2 linked regions of the Ovis aries genome follow. The protein of the gene in region 1 purifies or fractionates together with the protein of each later gene. This does not show direct contact. Links are inferred from orthologs where the notes say so. Each region holds a gene or a part of one and is shown in the gene's direction. Other genes may lie near its edges.

Evidence for each region.
Region 2: the proteins of IQCB1 (region 1) and EXOC1 purify together in Homo sapiens (affinity purification with mass spectrometry; 3 studies listed by BioGRID and IntAct, counting the BioPlex papers as one, with this or other methods). This does not show direct contact. The link is inferred for Ovis aries from reciprocal best matches to the Homo sapiens genes IQCB1 and EXOC1.

What each region holds. Positions count from the first base shown.
Region 1 is NC_056054.1:187,095,233-187,105,518, reverse strand, and holds the end of IQCB1 (IQ calmodulin-binding motif-containing protein 1), read left to right. Parts: intron 1-3,920; coding exon 3,921-4,052; coding exon of another isoform or gene 4,053-4,056; intron 4,057-5,664; coding exon 5,665-5,821; intron 5,822-6,664; coding exon 6,665-6,894; 3' UTR 6,895-7,255; downstream 7,256-10,286. UniProt on the Homo sapiens protein: Involved in ciliogenesis. The function in an early step in cilia formation depends on its association with CEP290/NPHP6.
Region 2 is NC_056059.1:71,995,796-72,006,824, forward strand, and holds the start of EXOC1 (exocyst complex component 1), read left to right. Parts: upstream 1-3,924; 5' UTR 3,925-4,079; exon of another isoform or gene 4,080-4,267; intron 4,268-9,102; 5' UTR 9,103-9,112; coding exon 9,113-9,236; intron 9,237-11,029.

The sequences.
Region 1 (10,286 bases):
AACTGTGTATGGCAACAGATGTTAAGTATACCTACTGTGACAGCCGTTTCCGAATATGCACAAATATCAACATTATGTTGGACACCTGAAATATAATATTGTATGTCAATAATATCATACCTCAATTTTAAAAAATAAAGAAGATAAAAAAGAACTAAAACTTCAAAAATGGTTGTGAAAGAACCAAGCCTAAGAATATTTTGAATAAAGAGATTACCATTCCTGATGACAGTTTGCAATGGGTGAAGGAGATATAATTGCATTTGTTTATCTGAAATTTGGTCTTTATAAATCATTCACAATCTTAGTTTAAAAACTTGTTTTACACTCCTTAGGAATCTGATGCTGGGAAAATAACTGTTTGCTGTTTACATATCCTGAGTTTGTTTCAAACTAAGAACTACAGAATGCATACCATTTTAGTGGTAGAAAAAAATATTCTCATCACCCAGAACTTTCTGAATGTCTGCTTCTACTCTTCATTTTTTATGAACACAAATGAATAGATTTCTCAGGCCATTTTTGATTTCAGAAATGTGGAAAATGACTTTGAAAGAGCCAAAACCTGAAAATCAAATATTGGAAATGAGTGACAAGCACAAGGGCAGGTCTGACTGCCTTCTAGAATTTTCGTTTGTGGGATCCACCTATTCATATTCAATGCATCCAATTTCCAAAGCTGACTTTGCCAGTGCTTCTAAAGAATTCCACGCTAAAGTGATAAACATGGTTTTTACAGCAATGAATGTGAGATATTTCCTGGCACCAGCAAATAAACCTAATTATTGGTTCTTTTACAAAAAAGTAACAAAGCTCAGAAAGAAGGTGATGTTTGCTTGTATCTCCTCTCTAGAGCCAGAATGATAGCTAATTCTTGCTACCTGATTATAGAAGAAAAGTACCATGTATACATATCCAATGAAGACCAACTGCAAAAGCACTTAAAAGAACAAGCCATTGGCAGTTGAAAAAAATAAACATTTGGTGATAGATATAATCTCAGAGAGTCCTAAAATAACAAAGAATGAAGAAGAGACAGAGAAAGAGATGTCAAGGTGAACTTTATCTGATCTAAGGGCAAAAATTCCCCTGTTCTGGAAACTTTGAGTTCCCAGCATAGCATCATAAACCTGACTTGGTACTAAAAACAAGAGGTAGAGAGAGGAAGGATAGGAAGTATAAGGAAGAAAAATCAAGAAAAGGGAAGAACAGAAGAAAAGGAGAAAAATCTCTCAATAGAATGAAAACACAGTTGAAGGCTTGAGTACTATAGTAAAAACATAAGGAAAGTTTATATACTAATGTGAAAACCTCCAGCCCCTTTTTACTTCTCAGCTCTCAGTGCTATCACCCAGGCTTAAATCCTATTGAAAGTATTTTCTTGAGGAAATCTGAACAGTCCAAGAGAATAGTTAAACTCATTTTGAGGTCCTCCAATGAAACAGCCCAGTTCAGTAGCCCTAAAAAGAAGTACATAGTAGATTAACCCTACCCTCATGCTCAGCATTTCTAAACAGCTGAAAGTATCACTGGACATCTGAGGAAAGCTAATGCCACACAAACAGAATAATACTACTTGGTGGAAACAGCTATTGCAGGGATAAGAAGACATTTTAAATGTATTATTTTCTCAGAGAGCTAAAAGAAAATAATACATGAAACAAAATCAAGATGCTATATAACAGGGAACAAATATAATAAAATTTGCCAGAAAAAATAATACAAGATATAATAAAAGGGATAGGAAAAAAGGTCTGTGAAATCTGGAGAAAGAGGAAAGAGAACCAGTCTAAGAGGTCACATATCCAAACATGTGAAACAGAGAAGGAAAAAAGGAGAGAAAATAAAATAGTTTGATTTCCCAGAACCAAATACCATGTGGTTTAGTTCAAAAGGACTGACCAACTGTCCATTACAAAGACAGAAATACACTCACATTTATTTCACATTACTGTGAAATACACTGGGAACAAAAGTACTCTTCAACAACATGATTGGAAGCTAAAAGGTATTGGAGTTAGGCTGACACATATTTGAGGGAAAATGACTTCCAATTAGAATTCTGCATCCAACCAAACCATCAGTTAAAAATAAAGATAGACTATAAAGATATATTTATGCATCACAAATCTCTGAAACAAAGGAATAACTCAAGAAAGGAATCCAGAAAACACAAAGGAAAAATGGGATGAGTCACCAAGATGATGGTGAATGGGGATATCAGGATAATAGCTATACACCAAGAATAGAGAACAATTGATCCAGATTGGAGCAGGTCAAAAAGCTCCGGAATGTATATCCAAGAAAATTAATTTGGTAGATTGCCTGATACGTTTTACTGTAAGGACAATTAGGGCAGAAGTTGTTATATATAATCAGTGATAAATACATAGAAAAATAAGGAAAATAACAGAATTATTAATTCCTTGCTTATTTTTCTAATGTATTAAAATATGCAAGGAAGAAAAAAGTAATCATCATATACTATATGATCATAAATAGCCTTTAGGCATAAACACTGAACATGAACATAACTAAAACTATGATTTAATAATATTGAATATTTAGAGATATAGAAAGTATGTGTGAAAGAGAGCTAAGTCCTTACCTTTCATATAAGAAAATCAATAGATAATACCTGTTACTGAAAAAAATCTCAAAAATGTAGATAGAAATAAACATCAGTAGAAAAACCTGAAAGAATTAAAGTTGATGTCTTTGAGCGGAGAGGACAGGATAACTCGGCAGAGAGCTGTAAATTTTAACAGTTCTTCTAAAACTGATACTTTAAACAATAGAGTTACATCAACAAATTTTTGGAAAGCATCAAATTGTAAAATATATTAGGTTGCAGGTCATGTAGTTTTCTTGCAACTCTTCAGCTCTATAGTTGTAGCACAAAAGAAATTGTAGACAGTATGGAAACAAATGAGCATGATTGTGTTTCAATAAACATTTGTAGACACTGAATTTTGAATTTCCTTTAATTTTCATGTCATAAAATAATTCTTTTCCTTTTGAACTTCATAATCATATAAAATGTAAAAGGGCTTGTCTGGTGACTCAGACAGTAAAGAATCTGCCTGCGGTGCAGGTGACCTTGGTTCAATCCCTGGGTCAGAAAGATCTCCTGGAGAAGGGAATAGGTACCCATTCCAATATTCTTGCCTGGAGAATTCCATGGACAGAGGAGCCTGGCAGGCTACAGTCTATGGGATCGCAAAGAATCGGACACAACTGAGCAACTAACACTTGCACTTCACTTTCAAAATGTAAAAAAATCATTCTTCTCCAGCTACTCAAAAACAGATAGCAGCTGGATTTGATCTGTGGGCCATAATTTTCCAACTTTTGCCTTTAATAATGTGAACGTAGAACAAAGAAGAGTGAAAAAAAATGGACAAAATAATGTCTTGTCTCCTAATCTTGCCTGTTATAAGATTTCTTATCAGGAATTCATTCTGAAGAACAAAAGGAAGCACATTTGTTTACCAAACTTTTTCTAATATAGTGTCTCCTTGATCTTTACTATCTTTTGGCTAAGTAGAATTGGGGGTCCCTGTTTTCTGTAGACATAGAACCTGTCTTATGGAGATTGAGTGACTTGCCCAAAATCGAACAGGTTTATAAGGGACTAGAACTTAGACTAGAACCCAGAGCTGGTTCCCTGTTTTTTTCTCTTTTTTGCTTTCTGTAAAAATAATACATGAATATTTCCTTATAAAATATTAAAACACCACAAAAGATTATAATGATAAAGTTATTGTCTTCTGTCACATCTGTCATCTCTCCCTCTATACACACTATAAGTTAACAACTGTTACAGTGTTGTCCTACTATATATTGTTGTAGAAAGAAAATAGTTCTATCAGTCAGGGAAGAAAAATCACAAGTTTTGTTTTTGGTTTTTTTTTCCCCAGACTCTTAAATTCTTAGCAAAATGTCGTAAGAAAAAGAAACAATTTGCTCCTTGGCCTGGACTCAGAGAACTCACTGATGCACGCAGAATTGAACTGAAACAACAAGTGGATGACTATATCAGAAGACATCCAGTGTGTAGGCTTTTGTGTTACATTATTGCAGTGTGTGATACTCACCAACAAATAAGTGTCTCAGTTGTATGTGTACATTTATTGTTGGCATAAGGTAATGCAATGGCTTTATTGTAGCCTTACCATGGCATTACCTTGACTTTACTATGGCTTTGGAGTCTTAATTGTGTGGACCGTAAAGTCAATAGTAAAGGACACTTCACTTCAACTTAGTGGTTTTCCATACTGCATCAGCGAGACTGTTGGTACATCCTTATCAACATTTATTATTTTCACATCCTAATGAACATGAAGTGGTATTGTGATTTGGGTTTATTTACATTCTGTAATAATTAGTGATTTTTAACATCTCTTTTGTGCTTATTGCTTATTTATATATCCTTCTTTGGAGAAATTTCAATTGAAGTCCTTTACCCATTTTTAATCAGGTTTTTTTTTTTTTTAGTGTTGAGTTTTAGGAATTCTCTGTATATTCTGGATATTAATTCCTTATCAGATGTATGATTTGCAAATATTTTCTTCCATTCTGTGGGCTGCCTTTTACTCTATTGATAGTGTCCTTTGATGCACAAAACTTTTTCATTTTGATGAAGTATAATTTGTCTAATTTTTGCGGTTGTCTGTACCTTCACAGTGTCATATTAAAGAAATCATTGCCAAATCTAATATCATAAAGCTTTCCCTCTATCTTTTCTTCTAAGAGTTTTGTAATTTTAGCCCTTATTGTTTAGGGCTTTGATCTCTATTTTTTATTAATGCACTGTGCATGATTCTGATGCATTCTTATATTTAAAAAAGAAGTACTGCTTTAGCCATGCCCTAGTACAACTGTTACTCTGTGGCTGACAAGTAAGATGTTAGTTAGAACAAGGCAGCATCCATGATCCAGGAACTGGAATACCTGAGAAAACTGTAGTGTTAGAAACTTTTATCAGTTTCAGTGTTGAAGTTATGTCATCCTTGTTCTAAATATTAATAATTAGGTCAGTTCCCTTTAAAGTAGCTAACTAGCCAGAAGAATATGATCCTTTGAATGATTCTGTCCCATGTTCTTTGAAATTAGAAGCTATATAATATTATGGCTTAGATAAGTTTGAGAGAAGGAATAGGATAAGAAGTAAGGCAGTTTCTCAGGTGGGGTTCAGAACAAAGGGATTGGTCCTGTTACTCCTCCAGGCCAGTGTCTTTACCAAACCATTTGTAATTTTCACTGTGATTCCTCAATCTTACCTCTTCTCCCAGAATATTACACTATGTGAGGAAGTGAGGTATAGGAGTATATCAAAAAGAATTTTGCCCACTTGCATTTTCAATGAAATCTGCTTTTAAGAAGTTATTTAATGTTTGTTCAAGAGTACAAGATCGGGCTTCCCTGATGGCTCAGTGGTAAAGAATCTGCCTGCCAATGCAGGAGACATGGGTTCAGTCTCTAGTCCAGGAAGATCCCACATGCTTTGGGGCAACTAAGCCCATCCACCATAACTACTGAGTCTGTGCTCTAGAGCCCAGGAGCCAGAACTACTGAACCCACATGCAGCAACTAGTGAAAGTGAAACATACTTTGATATATGTGTCCTTCGTGTGACAATTTTCTTCTGTCGTTTGTTCCCAGGGCTCTCAGATATCAGATGTGACCAGCAGGGAGCTCCATTCCCAAGCACAAGAACGACTGCAACACTACTTCTTGGGCAGGGCTCTAGAAGAGAGATCTCAACAGCACAGGGAGGCACTGATGGCTCAGATCAACACCAACATTGAACAGTTGATGAGTATGTGCTCATTCCATTTTTGTTTCCTAAAAGGAACACCCTATGCAAGATTTTGGTGACAGCCATAATCTTCAGAAGGAAAATAGCATTTAGTGGTCTATTAGCTCATTTCCTATCCTCAGAAATTTCTACTTCTGGATCATATCAGCACACAATGTTTTCAACTGATGCAAATCCCATAACCTTCCTGACTGCTTCCCTCAGCCTTTCTATCATTCATATGTACCAACTCAGACAAAGTTATTAATTTCAAAGATGCTGAGCCCTACTAGCCAGATTCTGTTATATAATAAGAAAAGCTTCTTAAGCCTACTTTAAAAGTAGATAATGACAGTATTTTATGGTGCCATTTTATATTTTTAATGAATCATTTTCACAAAAATTAATTCACCTACTTCTCACAACTGCTGATACATTAAATGAGAGATCTCGTCCATGAAGCCAGTGTTTCAGACAGGTTCTGAAACACTTATTACTTGTGGAGCAGAAGGGGTCAGGATCCTCTGTTTAGTGCCATTTACTTGTAAATTTTGTATTTTTGAATGGATAGGTGACTAGAACTGAGCCTCTCATCTGTAAGAATTCTGCTATTTGTTTTTAAGTTCCTACTCTTTTAAATAAACCATCTAAAAAATATCTACCTCTTTATTCTTTCCCTTTAAACACAGAAGGATGGGCTACATCTTGTGAATAGTCACATGCCAACTACAGCTGGCAACAATAGACTCAGAGTTAGAACCTAGTTTCTGCTGCTATTGCAGAGTTCCAGCTTTGCAGTTTCTAAGTTTCTGTTTGTCTGGTACAGAACTCTTCCACTCACCTGTTTATTTTTTGTTACTACAGAATCACCAAGTCTGAAGGAGGCAGAAGGAAAAGATCCTGAGCTCTTCCTAAGTAGATCCAGGCCTGTGGCAGCCAAAGCCAAGCAGGCCCATCTTACCACCCTGAAACATATACAAGCACCCTGGTGGAAGAAGCTTGGGGAAGAAGCAGGAGATGATATTGATGTCCCAAAGGATGAACTTAATATAGAATTAGGAACTTTATTCATTGGTGGAACCAAACCACCTTAAAGGAGTTACCTGGAGGAATGACATATCTATATTTAAATAGATTATATTGGTTCTACCTCTGACATGCTAGTAGACTAGTGTTATCCTTAACTCATGGCTTTCTAGAGGTTCTTCTCTAAACAAGACTTGATGGATATAGGCAAAGAGTTATTTTCTACCTCAATTTCAATTCTTTTCTTTTTCCACACCTCCATCCTTGGCCACACATACAAATTGGTACGGCTTTTATTATGAAACTAAATTCATCATTGTATTCTGTTATTAATATATATTTGAAATGTGATATTTCTTTTTTTGTTTCTGCTGTTTTCCAACTAAAGGTGTTTTCTCAATAAATATTTTCAACAATTGTTCTGAAAAACTTGTCAGGTTTACTTCAACTTTTCACATTTATTGATTTTTCTGTTAAATAGGCCTCCCAGATAGCGCAGTGGTAAAGAATCTGCCTGCAATATAGGAAACACAGGAGGCACAAGTTCAATCCCTGGGTCAGGAAGATCCCCTGGAGGAGGAAATGGCAACCCACTCCAGTTTTCTTGCCTGGAAAATCCCATGAACAGAGGAGCCTGGAGGGCTGTAGTCCATGGGATCTCAAAGAAGCAGACATGACTTAGCAAACGTGCATGCACTCACAGGAAGTGTGCTCTTGGAATTTATTAAGGTGAGAGAAAGAAATGGTCAATAGAAAAACAACTATTTTCTACCAGTGTTTGAATTCAGCTTCTTTCTTATTTCTAAAAGTAACTACATTTAAAAAGTCCACTTGGGATTCAGTGCCAGAATTCTAATAAAACTGCATTCTTTCTATTAAACTAAGAGAATATAACCTACTATTTCCGTTTTGGTCTTGTCTCCTAGGGGTCTTAGAACTAAAATAATGTTAAATTTCTGCTATGATTCTCAATATCTACACGATTATCAGGTTCTAGCCTAACAATTTTGAATTTCGCTATTATCTGTGTTTTAATACCAAAAGCCACCTCTATTTGTGTTTTGATAATACAAAATTTATGTTAAAATCAATTAAATAATTGGCTCCATAACATAAGGAACCTGGAGTGTGCTTTTTCTATAAATGAGTAGAAATACCAGTATTTCTGGATGGAAAGACAAAATACTATAATGTAAATCCCTCTGAAGTTTAGTAAAATTCTAGTCAAAAATCTAGTGTAATTTTTATTCATAATTTAGAAAATGAATAAAATTCATTTGTGAAAATAAGCAGATGAGAGTTCTGGTTTCACTTAGAATATAAAAAGTTCCATGAGAACGTTTCTTCCATCTTAACAACAAAAAATTGCAAAGTAATCTATGAAAATCGTTTTTCTTGAGCCTATCAGATAGTTGAGGCCTCAAGATAACCAAATAAATCGAGGGGACTCAGTATCTGTGAAATAAACCATTTTATCTTTGAGAGCACAAGAGACAAAAGTGGCTGGAAAAAAATCAACTAAAATTTTAACAGATTCTTAAGGGTGAAGTGTGAGTTGCCTGTCAGAATATCTAGGAACTTTAGAAGTTAGAGCTCTACCAAATATGAGAAAGTTTGGGAGCAGGGCAGGAGACCTGAAAAGATACCTCTGTGGCATAGGCAAACAGGAGATGACAGGCTGCTACTGGGTGACATGCCCAAAGCCTCACCTGCTTTCCGAGACCCTTTTCTTAAAGGTCTTAGGCTGCTGGAGCAGGGGCAGCAAGCCCTCTTAACATCTAAGGCTCAGACGAAATTCCATTGCATTTAAGAAAGGAACAGAAAACCTAGCTGTCGGTGCTGAAGACAGGGGTGATAGGAAATAGTCTACCATGATACAGGTAGAGTCCAGTGTTACTAGGGAAGTATGGAAATAAAAACCCTTGTCTCCTGGGAGGGAGGCAGAAAATGACATTGGGCCCAGAAATCCTACATCTACTCAAAGCAGATGTCTGGTAAGCTAATGAAAAGGAGCAAACTCCTGCTAAAAATGAACCACAGTTATGAAGCAGTTTGACTACCATGGCATAAGAAAGCCCTATCTCCAACCCCAGGGAGAAGAAACTTGGCCTAAAATTTAGGCTGGATCAGGACAAAAGACCACCCAAGTCTCAACAACTAGCCTAGCACCAAGTAATAAGCAGCAGTAGTTAACCACTGGGGTAGGGAAGCATGGAGAGACACCCTTTCCCCGCACTCCCCCACCCCACCCCCTGGCAAAGGCAAACAGGGATGCTTGAAGATGGAGGTAAAGCAGGAACATAGAAAAAACTTCAGCTTTTCAGACCCCACTATAAGCATAAGGTAATAGCTAAAAAATACAGGCACTTGAAGCCTATAGTACATTAGAAATGAAAAGCCAGACCCGGCTAAACTCCTGAATGGCTTAACTCAGCCTCCCTGCAACACTGCAATATAATTAATCTTTTAATTTCCGACTTAATGCTGTCTCACTTTCTGACTTAAAATGCTGCTATGTTTACTATAACAAAACTAGTTCAGTATTACTCAGATAAATGAAAAATAAGATTTTTAAAAGTGATATTAATTATTTGATCATCAACGTTTATCACAATTTAACTTTATTGACTCCTTATTGTAAAATTCAGACTTATATTGAAAACCACTAGGGCATTCAGGTATGACCTAAATCAAATCCCTTACAATTACACAGTGGACGTAACAAATAAATTCAAGGGATTAGATCTGATAGAATGCCTGAAGAACTATGGACAGAGGTTTGTAACATTGTACAGGAAGTGGTGGCCAAAACCATCCCCAAGAAAAAGAAATGCAAGAAGGCAAAATGCTTTTCTGAGGAGGGCTTATAAATAGCTGAGAAGAGAAGTGAAAGGCAAAGGAAAAAGGGAAAGATATACCCAACTGAATAAAGAGTTCCAAAGAATAGCAAGGAGAGATAAGAAAGCCTTAAGTGAACAGTGCAAAGAAATAGAGGAAAACAACAGAATGGGAAAGACTAGAGATCTCTTAAAGAAAATTAAGAGCTACCAAGGGAACACTTCATGCAAAGATGGGCACAATAAAGGACAGAAATGCTAAGCAGAAGAGTGAGAAGAGGTGGCAAGAATACACAGAACTATACAAAAATGGTCTTTTTTTTTTAAAAAAAAAAAAGGTCTTAAAGACCCAGACAACCATGGTGGTGTGGTCACTTGCCTAGAGTTAGACATCCTGGAATGTGAAGTCAAGTGGGCCTTAGTAAGCATTGCTACAAACAAAACTAGTGGAGGTGATGGAATTCCAGCTGAGCTATTTCAAATCCTAAAAGATGATGTTATAAAGTGTTGCACTCAGTATGCCAGCCAATTTGGAAAACTCAGCAATGGCCACAGGGCTAGAAAAGGTCTGTTTTCATTCCAATCGCAAAGGGCAGTGCCGAAGAGTGTTCAGACTACCATAC
Region 2 (11,029 bases), on another chromosome or scaffold:
CTTGTGCTTCTTCCAGCCCAGCATTTCTCATGATGTACTCTGCATATAAGTTAAATAAGCAGGGTGACAACATACAGCCTTGACGTACTCCTTTTCCTATTTAGAACCAGTCTGTTGTTCCATGTCCAGTTCTAACTGTTGCTTCCTGACCTGCATACAAATTTCTCAAGAGGCAGGTCATTAGCAAAGGATAATTAGCAAAGGATCTGGGATTGTTGCTATACAATAGCAATGGCGGGGGGCGGGGGGTGGGTAAATCTAGAATCCAAAGAATTCAACAGAGGCTTATCTTGGGAAAAGTTGAACAGGCAGTCACACAATCATGGCCCAACGAGAGGGAGGGAAACAAAAGCTGAAGGTTCCAGTTGCCTCACTGAGCCAACAACCTAGATCAGGTGATGTGCTGGCCAAGGGTGAAGGGAGGTAAGGGTGGGGAGTACAGCCGGGAGCTCATAAGAACAAGCACAGTCTTGGCATCAGTGTAGCAGCAAGGACTGAAGCTGTCCAGTCCTTGAGTTATTGCATCAACTCTCTTATATTAAGTCTTTGCAGAGATTGCAGGTGTCCATCACCTTGAAGGGGACTGTAAAGGACTAGACTTAAATGGCCAAGCAGGTATGAGTGGTACAAAGACTGGACTGATGGACACCATCTGTATATCTTCTGTCACCATTTCAAATCCTTCAGCCACTTATTCCAACCACTGCTGCGGCAACCTGTTCTAAACAGTCCGATGAACTGTAAGCAAGTACGATATGGCAGTGCCGTTCCTCTTCCCTCCTGCCTCAGGACTTCTCTGATGCGGGAGTCAGCTTGGCATTCACGACTGTGCATTTGGGAAGTGTGGAGTAGTTAATGGCTTGGGGCCTTAACGTTTGATCAAAGGTAGACCGGAGCTGACAGATAAATGCTTCTCCCACTCTTGGTTTCAGTGGACAGTTTTGACACTCACCTCATGACTTTTCCAGAAGGTACTAAGGGATCAAGAAAACAGACATGGTGGCAACCAACCGAACAACACATCCTTATACTGCCTCTCTCTCTTCCTTCTTTTACTTCCCCTCCCTCATCTCTCACTCTTGCTGCCTGGGATCAAAACCCCAGATATAATACTGTGCCTCCACTTTGAGAGGAATCCAGGAGAGGAAGTGAGAAATGGCAATTCACTTCTCAACTCTGAAGAGGGCTGTAAACATACAAGATAAAATAATAATAATAATATGACAAAATAGCACATGCAATTGTCATATAGAGTGACTACAGTAAGTGTTCTGGGACTGAACAGGAAGGACCCAAGAGGCCTTTTTAAAGATCAGATCAGATCCTGCTCTTAAAAGGGAAGTCATTCAATGAAACTGAAAAGCATTTCAAGTAGTATTGACCAGAGTATATTGATCTCAGTAGCAAACAGGTCCCTACTATTTCTGCAGATTTTTCTACCAAATTATATCTTCAGATACACACTGAAAGATACTTTGCATATCTCATTTTGTCCCTTTCTCAGTGAACCCATCTTGAAAGAGTGAGTTACACACTCTTTTGCATTTCCATGGTGTTTCATCTCTTTTTTCTACTTTTATTGTTTGGTTCACCACACTAGACTGTAATTTATCCATCTATTTAATTCTGTCTCTACAATGACAGTGGGAGAGACAGACCCCCTTCTCAGTGGGATCCCCATCTTTGTATCTCAAGTCCCTGGCACTTAAGTGGCTCTGTTTCTTAAATAAACAAATGCTTGCACCAAAGGGTTCCTGCAGAACCCTTGCAAAGGATGGAATTGAGCTGAAGTAAAGAAATCACTCCTTTGAAATACCAACACATTTATCTGGCCTGTAACTCTTTTTGGTCATTTATTTTGTCTTATTTTATATGTATTTATATGTATATCTTATTTGGCCCTACAATACTATGAACTTCTTCAGGGTAAGAGTCATATCAAATCACCTCCACACCTCCATCAAAGTATCTGGCATAAAATAGGTGCTAGGAATATGGACTAAATAAATCACTTGCCTTGCAACCAACAACATTGCCATTATCTATGCTTCCTAAACTTACACCTGCATAGGTGTCATCCTGTTAAGACACAGATTACCATTCAGTAGATCTGAAGTAAGCCTGAGAGCTGCATTTTCTAAAGAACTTTCAGATGATCCTCAAGAAGCTGCTCTACAGAACAATTTTTAAATGTCAATGTCACTACATCAGTGGACCTCTACAGCATATGAAACTCCTCCTGGAAGATATTAAATGTGCTGGTGGGGACTTCCCTGGTGGTCCAGTGGTTAAGACTCCATGCTTCCACTCCTGGGGGTACAGGTTCCTTCCCTGATTGGAGAAAGAAGATCCTGCATACTGTGGGGCCTAAAATAAATTAAGAAAGAAAGAAGAAGAAAAAAGTGCTGTTATCTTGGCCCCAGCAAGATACCTCCTGCCCCCTCCCCCATTCTGATTTAACTCATTTAAACTCTCCATGCTATAACCTGCAAGTATCTAGATTTAGATTTAAAGCAAGAGAGTTTGAGAAAAACATCTACTTCTGCTTTATTTACTACACCAAAGCCTTTGACTGTGTGGATCACAAAAAACTGTGGAAAATTCTTCGAGAGATGGGAATACCACACCATGTTACCTGACACCTGAGAAATCTGTATGCACGTCAAGAAGCAACAGTTAGAACTGGACACAGAACAACAGACTGGTTCCAAATTGGGAAAGGAGTATGTCAAGGCTATATCTTGTCACCCAGCTTATTTAACTTATATGCAGAGTATATCATGTGAAATGCCAGGCTGGATGAAGCACAAGCTGGAATCAAGAGTGCCGGGAGAAATATCAATAGCCTCAGATACGCAGATGACACCACCCTTATGGCAGAAAGCAAAGAGGAACTAAAGAGCCTCTTGATGAAAGTGAAAGAGGAGAATGAAAAAGCTGGCTTAAAGCTCAACATTCAGAAAACGAAGATCATGGCATTCGGTCCCATCATTTCATGGCAAATAGATGGGGAGACAGTGGAAACAGTGGCTGACTTTATTTTGGGGGGCTCCAAAATCACTGCAGATGGTGACTGCAGCCATGAAATTAAAAGATGCTTACTCCTTGGAAGAAAAGTTATGACCAACCTAGACAGCATATTTAAAAGCAGAGATATAACTTTGCCAACAAAGGTCTGTCTAGTCAAGGCTATGGTTTTTCCAGTGGTCATGTATGGACGTGAGAGTTGGGCTATAAATAAAACTGAGCACCCAAGAATTGATGCTTTTGAACTGTGGTGTTGGAGAAGACTCTTGAGAGTCCCTTGGACTGCAAGGAGATCGCACCAGTCAATCCTAAAGGAAATCAGTGCTGAATGTTCAGTGGAAAGACTGATGTTGAAGCTGAAACTCCAATACTTTGGCACCTGCTACGAAGAACTGACTCACTGGAAAAGACCCTGAGACTGGGAAAGATTGAAGGCAGGAGGAGAAGGGGATGAGAGAGGATGAGATGGTTGGATGGCATCACCGACTCGAAGGACATGCGTTTGAGCAAGCTCATGGGAGTTGGTGATGGACAGGGAAGCCTGGCAAGCTGCAGTCCATGGGGTCTCAAAGTCCACAGGGACACGACTGAGCGACTGAACTGAACTGAACTGGTCTGATCTAGATTTAACTGAACTTTAGGCGTGCAAAAAAGAAAACATTTGATTAGATCTCTTCTTCAGTGAACTGTTGAAAATAGCTGAATAAATAAGTCTTCTAGAGAAAGGAATACGCACACCAAATCCCCCAGGTTCGGAGTCAGTCTCCAGCGACAAGGCCCGCTCCTGCCTGTCCTAGACACGCCCCTCCGGAGAGACCTGACCCCACCCCCTTACCAAGGCCAAAGCCGCGACTGCTTCCTTCTCAACCCAACCGACTTCCGGCAGGGAGGTGTGTCACGTGCCCGGATATAGGAAGTGGTGGCCGGACGGCTGCTTCCAGTTCACTGCTTAGTTGAGGGGTTCATCTTAGTAACGGTGGCCGCCCCAGTCCTGTCCGGTCTCCGTCTTGGAGGACCCGCCTCGGCACAGCCGGGCTCGGTCCGGCCTTGCGGTAAGCCTTCGGCCGCGGCTGCCGGGCGGTCCTGGCGGCGGCGGACAAATGAACGGAGGGGTGGACGCCAAGGTCTGAGGCGGCTCCTCAGTCCCGGTGCTGGTCTAGCGCCGGGGGCTGGGTACTGCTCACTCCGCCGTCAAAGCCCCCTTCTCTTTCCCAGCCCTTCTGGGTAAGGCGGAGAGGCCGGTGGGAGGATCCCGTTACCCCCTTGTTATCCTGGGGGGCTGGGAGGGCAGCCCAGACGTCCTTTTCCGGTTCCGCCCATGAAAATCAGATTTCATCGTAAAAAATGGTCTTGAACAGTTTGTTCTTTGGCTTGGACCAGGAGGGGAGGGTCTGGCAGTACCTTCCCTTTCTTTGTCCAAATCCTCATTTTCTTCTTCCCTGGTAGCTCAGATGGTAAAGTGTGTGCCTGCAATACGGGAGACCCGGTTCAATCCCTGGGTCGGGAAGATCCCGGGTTCAATCCCTGCGCCAGGAAGATCTCCTGGAGAAGGAAATGGCAACTCCAGTATTCTTGCCTGGAAAATCCCATGGATGGAGGAACCTGATAGGCTACAGTCCATGGGGTCGCAAAGAGTCGGACACGACTGAGCGACTTCACTTTCTTTCTTTCTTTCATTTTCTTCTAAATCTCATAAGTGCATTTCCCTGTTGCCATGCTGTGGCGTGTTATCTTCAGTGCTCCATGCACTAAGGTGTCTGGATAGCAGACAGGGTACTTACCCACACGCACTCACTCTCACGACAGTACTGCTTACAAGTTATCTGCCACATCCTGTAGTGATCCGGCTGGATTTAAGGAAACAAGGACCGACATAGAGTATTGTGGCTGACTGTCTCTGGAACGTGGTCAGACATGGGTTCTTATACCTGGAAAATAGTTTTAAAGAACTTCTAATGATTTATTCACTGACTTACCAAAAAAGTATTATAAACACTGGAGAGTTACTCACGCCATCTTTATAAAGTAGATGCCGTTGGAGGCAAGAATCTTCCTGTCTTCGTGGATGAAGAAGTGAAGTGAAGTCGCTCAGTCGTGTCCGACTCTTTGCAACCCCATGGACTGTAGCCTACCAGGCTCCTCTGTCCGTGGGATTTTCCAGGCAATAGTACTGGAGTGGATTGCCATTTCCTTCTCTAGGGGTTCTTCCCAATCCAGGGATTGAACCCGGGTCTCCCGCATTGTAGACAGACGCTCTACCATCGGAACCACCAGGGAAGTCTTCCTGGATATGTCTGTCATATTCACCATGGTACCTAGAATTTTGCCTCGCACTTAGTAGGCATCAGTGTTTGCTGAATGTGTAGTGCTTTTCATTCTGCCTAACTCCTTTATCAACTGTGCTGAGTTCCTCTCTTGTTTTTACCACTTAACCATATTGTCAGTCCTTGCTTTTGACCAGAGAGGGATTGGGTGATAGATGCTGACCACTAATAGTCATTTATTCATTTAACCAGTTTTTATAATTCAGCTTAGATTTCCTCAAGAGGTATTTGTTTAGCACTTACAAAGAACATGAAACTGCTAAAACACCTCCTCCCCCAGCCATCCCCCCGTCCCTTGAAGAGAGTTCTTGAGATCCAGGAACTTGTGACTTTATGAACCAGTTGGACAGCAAGTGTTGTATGTTTAACAAATGCAATAAGTGATATAGCAGTTGAGAGGAGAGATCAATTTGGGTTAAGGTCTGTATTGAATCAGTTCAGTTTATTTGCTCAGTCATGTCTGACTCTGTGACCCCCATGGACTGCAGCGTGCCAGGATTCCATGTCCATCACCAACTCCCAGAGCTTGCTCAAACTTATCTCCATCAAGTCAGTGATGCCGTCCAACCATCTCATCCTCTGTCATCTGCTTCTTCCTTCAACCTTTCCCAGCATCAGGGTCTTTTTCAAGGAGTCAGTTTGTTGCATCAGATGGCCAAAGTATTGGAGTTTTAGCTTTAGCATCAGCCCTTTCACTGAACATTCAGGACTGATTTCCTTTAGGATTGACTGTGTTGAATCAAGTTCATGTAAATTATGGAATGTTGTTAGGATTTGGGTAGATGATACCCTCTGCATGGAAAATATCCTAAGCAAAGATTTAAAGGCTAGAATGATCAGAGGGCTTGGAGTGAAAGGTTTGTCTTTGGGAGCATTAGGAAAGTGTTGAGCAAGGGCATATTATGATGAAAGGTATGTTTTAATATTATTTGTTGAGAGTTTTGGGGTTATGGAAGCTTGCAAAGAGGTAACCAGATGCTATGGTGTTAAATAGATGTAGTTGGTGTGAACCTCGATTGTACTTTGGCAGTAGGACCAGAAAGGATAAATTATGTGTAGATGAAGGAAAATTAGGAAAATGCTTTTAGCTGTCAGGTTATTTGGTACCTTCATTTTGTTGAATTTATTTACTGTCTGCTATGTCTTTGCCAAGTTCTGGGAATATAAGGATGAATAAGACACAGGCCTTGCCTGCTAGGAAATACTCTTAATGGGGAAAAGAATACAACTAGCTGGACAATATGGTTTGTAAGTGCTGTGTTAACAGAGTAGAGGGGAAATGTTAGAGAAGTAGGAAAGGATTTTTTTTTTTTTTTTGGCGTGTGTGACTATTTCACAAAAGAGGTCTTATTTTAGCAGGATGAATTGGAATTTTCCAGGGAGAAAAGAATTTGAGAAAAAAGAAATTGCATGAACAAGAGCCTGGAATTAGAAAAGCAAACTGGCCAGTATCCAGGGTGGCTTCAGCAAAGGATAGAGTTGAGCTTTTAACATATGTGTAGGATCTAGAACATATGAAGAGATAGTAACATAGACAGTTTATAATGGGTGGAATGGAGGTTAAAATGGAATGTAGCAAGATGAAGAAGTGTTGAGCAAGGGCATATTATGATGCAAGATATGTTTTAATATTATTTGTTGGGAGTTTTGGGGTTATGGAAGCTTGCAAAGAGGTAACCAGATGCTATGGTGTTTAATAGATGGTGAAGGGTAGATGGTGAAGTCATTTGCAGAGAGGGAGTAGACTGACAGAATTAGGGGTTGAAGGAGAGAAGTAAGGATTTGCAACACCGATGGAGTAGGAAGAGGGATCATCAAAGGAAGTGTTAAGGAATTGCTGAGCAACATTGAAAGTTTAGCATCGATTGGATTTAAAAGTTGTAATGAGTACAATGGACAGGGATATGAGACCTTCTTAAGTGCCATATGGTAGCCCAGGAGAAGGAGAGAAAAAAAGACAGTTGATGGAAATTGATGAGCAGGGTGAACTGGTCTACAAATGGAGCAAGATCATTGAAAGGAATGGTGTGGGTGTATGGAAATAAACACTGCCTCCAGGCTACACTGGGAAAGAAATTAAGCTTGGAGAGGCCAGATGTTCTAAGAGAACAGGATGGAAGGGGAGATCAGAAGACTGGAGGCTGAGATGAGGGGGAATAGGGATGGAAGTGGGAAGATGTGGTTTTTCTGAGAAAAGCAATTTTTTTTAGTTGGAGCAGCGATAGAAATGTTACAAATTGAGTAAAATAGAGGAGTTTTCAAAAGAGTCATTGTATTATAAAAATACATTCAAAGTCATTTATTTAAAACTCATAATTTCTTCATTTTCCCATAGAAACAGTGTTAGGAGTAGAAGTTAATTTTGTAACCAGCTCACATGTATTAAATACTATACACCTTCATTGGAAATAGTAATACATACACACACACACACACACACACACACACACACACACACACACACACAAACAAATATGTATTCAGTATATTTAACAAATAAACTTGAAAAGAGATGTTTAAAAAATATTTAAGTTGATATTTGAAAAGAGGACATTGAATTAGATGAGAAAAGGAAGACGAGTAGAAAACTATTCTCTAACAACAGCTTTTTTGAGATATAATTAATATACCATAAAATTCACCCTTTTCGAGTATATAAGTCAGTGGTTTTCAGTATATTCACAGGGTTATACACCCATCAATACTGTCTAATTGAAGGACATATTCATCAGCCCCAAAAGAAGCCCCATACACATTAGCAGTCATGCCTGCTTGCCCCCTACCCCTAGCAACCGGAAATCAGTTTGTCTGTGTGGATTTGCCTACTCTGGACATTTCATATACATGGAATCATGAAATATGTGGCCCTTTGCAGCTGACTTCTTTCACTTAACATAATGTCTTTAGGATTCATCTGTGTGTCAGTAGTATGTATCAGTACTTTGCTCCTTTTTATGGCCAAATAATATGCCACTGTATGGATATGTTTCATTTTGTTGTTCCCCAGGACGTTTGAGATGTTTCCACTTTTGGCTATTGTGAATAATGCTGCAGTGGACATTTATGGGCATGTTTTTGTGTGGACATAATTTTCAGCTCTCTTAAGTATATACCTAGGAGTGGAATTGCTGGGTCATGTGGTAAATTCACATTTAACCATTTGAGGAACCACCAAATTATTTTCCAGAGCAGCTGCAGTATCTTACAATCATCAGGAGTATATGAGAGTTCCCTTACCAACACTTGTCTTTCTAATTTTAGCCATCCTAGCAGGTGTAAAGTGGTAGGTATCTCATTGTTTTAATTTATGATTCCCTAATGGCTAATGATGTTGAGCATCTTTCCATGTCATTTTTAACCATTCATATGTCTTCCTTGGAGAGATGTCTCCCAAACGCTTTGCTCAATTTTTAATTGGGTTGTTTTTTTGTTGTTGAATTGTAAAAGTTATTTATATAGGAAATTTATATTTAAATATTGGGAATGGGCCTTTTAATTTTTCTTAAATCTTTTAAAAAAATATTTAGTATTTGGTGAGCACATCAAAAGATCTTAGAGTTTGATAATACTGGTTCTCTAATTTCTTTTCCAAACACACAGCTTTTTATCTTTATGATGTAGGTGTACAAATGTGTGAAATTATTTCCCCATGCTTATTAACCATAAATAAGGTCTTTTCCTAATCCTAAATGGAACAATATAAGAAGAAGGATTTTGACAAATGTAATAATCTATACTCTGAATTTTTCAGCTGAGTAAAGATGACAGCAATCAAGCATGCATTACAAAGAGACATTTTTACTCCAAATGACGAACGCCTGCTGAGTATTGTCAATGTCTGCAAGGCAGGAAAAAAGAAAAAGAATTGTTTTTTGTGTGCCACAGGTGAGTGTTTAATAAGGAAGGATTTCTTTTATTCCTTGGAGACATTTCCTGGTTGTTTATAAAATATTCTCATTGTCTCTGTGATTGGAAAAACTGTTGGGCCAGCAAACTCATTTTTTTCAGTTGTCTTTAATTAAATCTTAAAAAGATACAAAAGCACTTCCGTAACATATAAAGGTAGGAACACTTGTGTAGCCACCACCCAGAATAAAAGGAATATTACCGTTGCCTTTGAAGTCTCTTGTGTTCCCTGCCCTGCTCCCATTCCCTCCCCTCCCTCATTAAGAGGTGACAAGTATCCTGAGTTTTGATTTACTATTTCCTTGCTTTTCTATATCATTTTGCCATATATGTTTGTAATCTCAAATAATACATTGTTAGATTTGCTTTAAACTGAGCATAAATTGCATTTTAACACACGTATTCATGTGTGACTTCCACTCATCAGTAGGTTCATGTTAGTGAGTGTTACCTGTTTTTCTCCCATGGCTGGTAAGTGTTTTATTTCCACTGCTATGTAGTGTTCTCTTCTGAGAGTACAACTGTTTACTTACCCATCCTACTAGTGATGACCAGGAGATTTGTCTCCAGGTTTTTCTATTTAGGCAACAAAACATGTTTGTCCTTGTCTGCCAGTGTATAGGCAAGAATTTTCTGGGGTAGATAGTTAAGTATGAGATTGCTGGGTCACAGGCATGTGAATGTTCAACACTATAATCACAAATTATTTTCAAAAGTAGTTGTACTGATTGCACTCCCACAGGCAGTGTGTATTTTGGGTTCTCCACATCTTAGTCTAAACTTGGTTTTGACACTGGGTTTTGACAGACTATCAGTTGTTTCCAATCTGGCGAGTGTAAAATAGAATCTCATTGTGGTTTTAAACTGTATTTCCCTAAATAAAAGTGAAATTAAGTCTCTGTTCATGAATTTATTAGCCATTTTTTGCCTAAATTTGCCTGTTTAAGCCTTCTGTTCATTTTTCTGCTGTGTTGGTTGTCCTTTTTGGTTGGTTGATTCTTTGAGGTCTTTATATAATGTGGGTGCTAATTTGTTGGTTACATGCATCCTGGTTTGTGGCTTGTGGTTTCACTTTTTATGATGCCTTTTGATGACATTTATAATTTTAATGAAATCAGATTAATCAATCTGATCATTTATGTGACCATTTATGGGCTTTTTGTCTCTTGTCTAAGATGTCCTTCCCTACCCTGTCATGTGTCATGTCATGTATGAGTTGCTCAGTCGTTTCTCACTCTTTGTGACCCCATGCATTGTAGCTCACTAGGCTCCTCTGTCCAAGGAATTCTCCAGAATACTGGAGTGGGTTGCCATTCCCTTCTCCAATGGATCTTCCCTACCGAGGGATGAAACCCAGGTCACCTGCATTGCAGGCAGATTCTTTACCATCTAAGCCACCAGGGAAGCCCTTAAAAGTATTCTGTATTACCATCTACAAGTTTTATAATTTTACCTTTCATATTTCAGTTTTTGATTTACCTGTGTCCACGTTTGTAGTGATGAGTGTTTGTTTTTTTCTGGGCACTTTCTTATATCTGGTTTTTATGTTGTCTTGTGGGTATTTTGTTGTTTTATCTAAATTTTATAATCAACCTGTCATGTTCCAAATTTTGTTAGGATTTTATTGGAATTGTTTTGAATCTATAGTTCACTTTAGAGAGAACGTGCGTTTTTATATAAAATCTTGTTCATGCATATGGTGTGGTCTCTTCGTCTTCTTTAATACCTTTCAACAAGGATTATAGTTTTAAAGACTTTCCATAAAGGCTTTT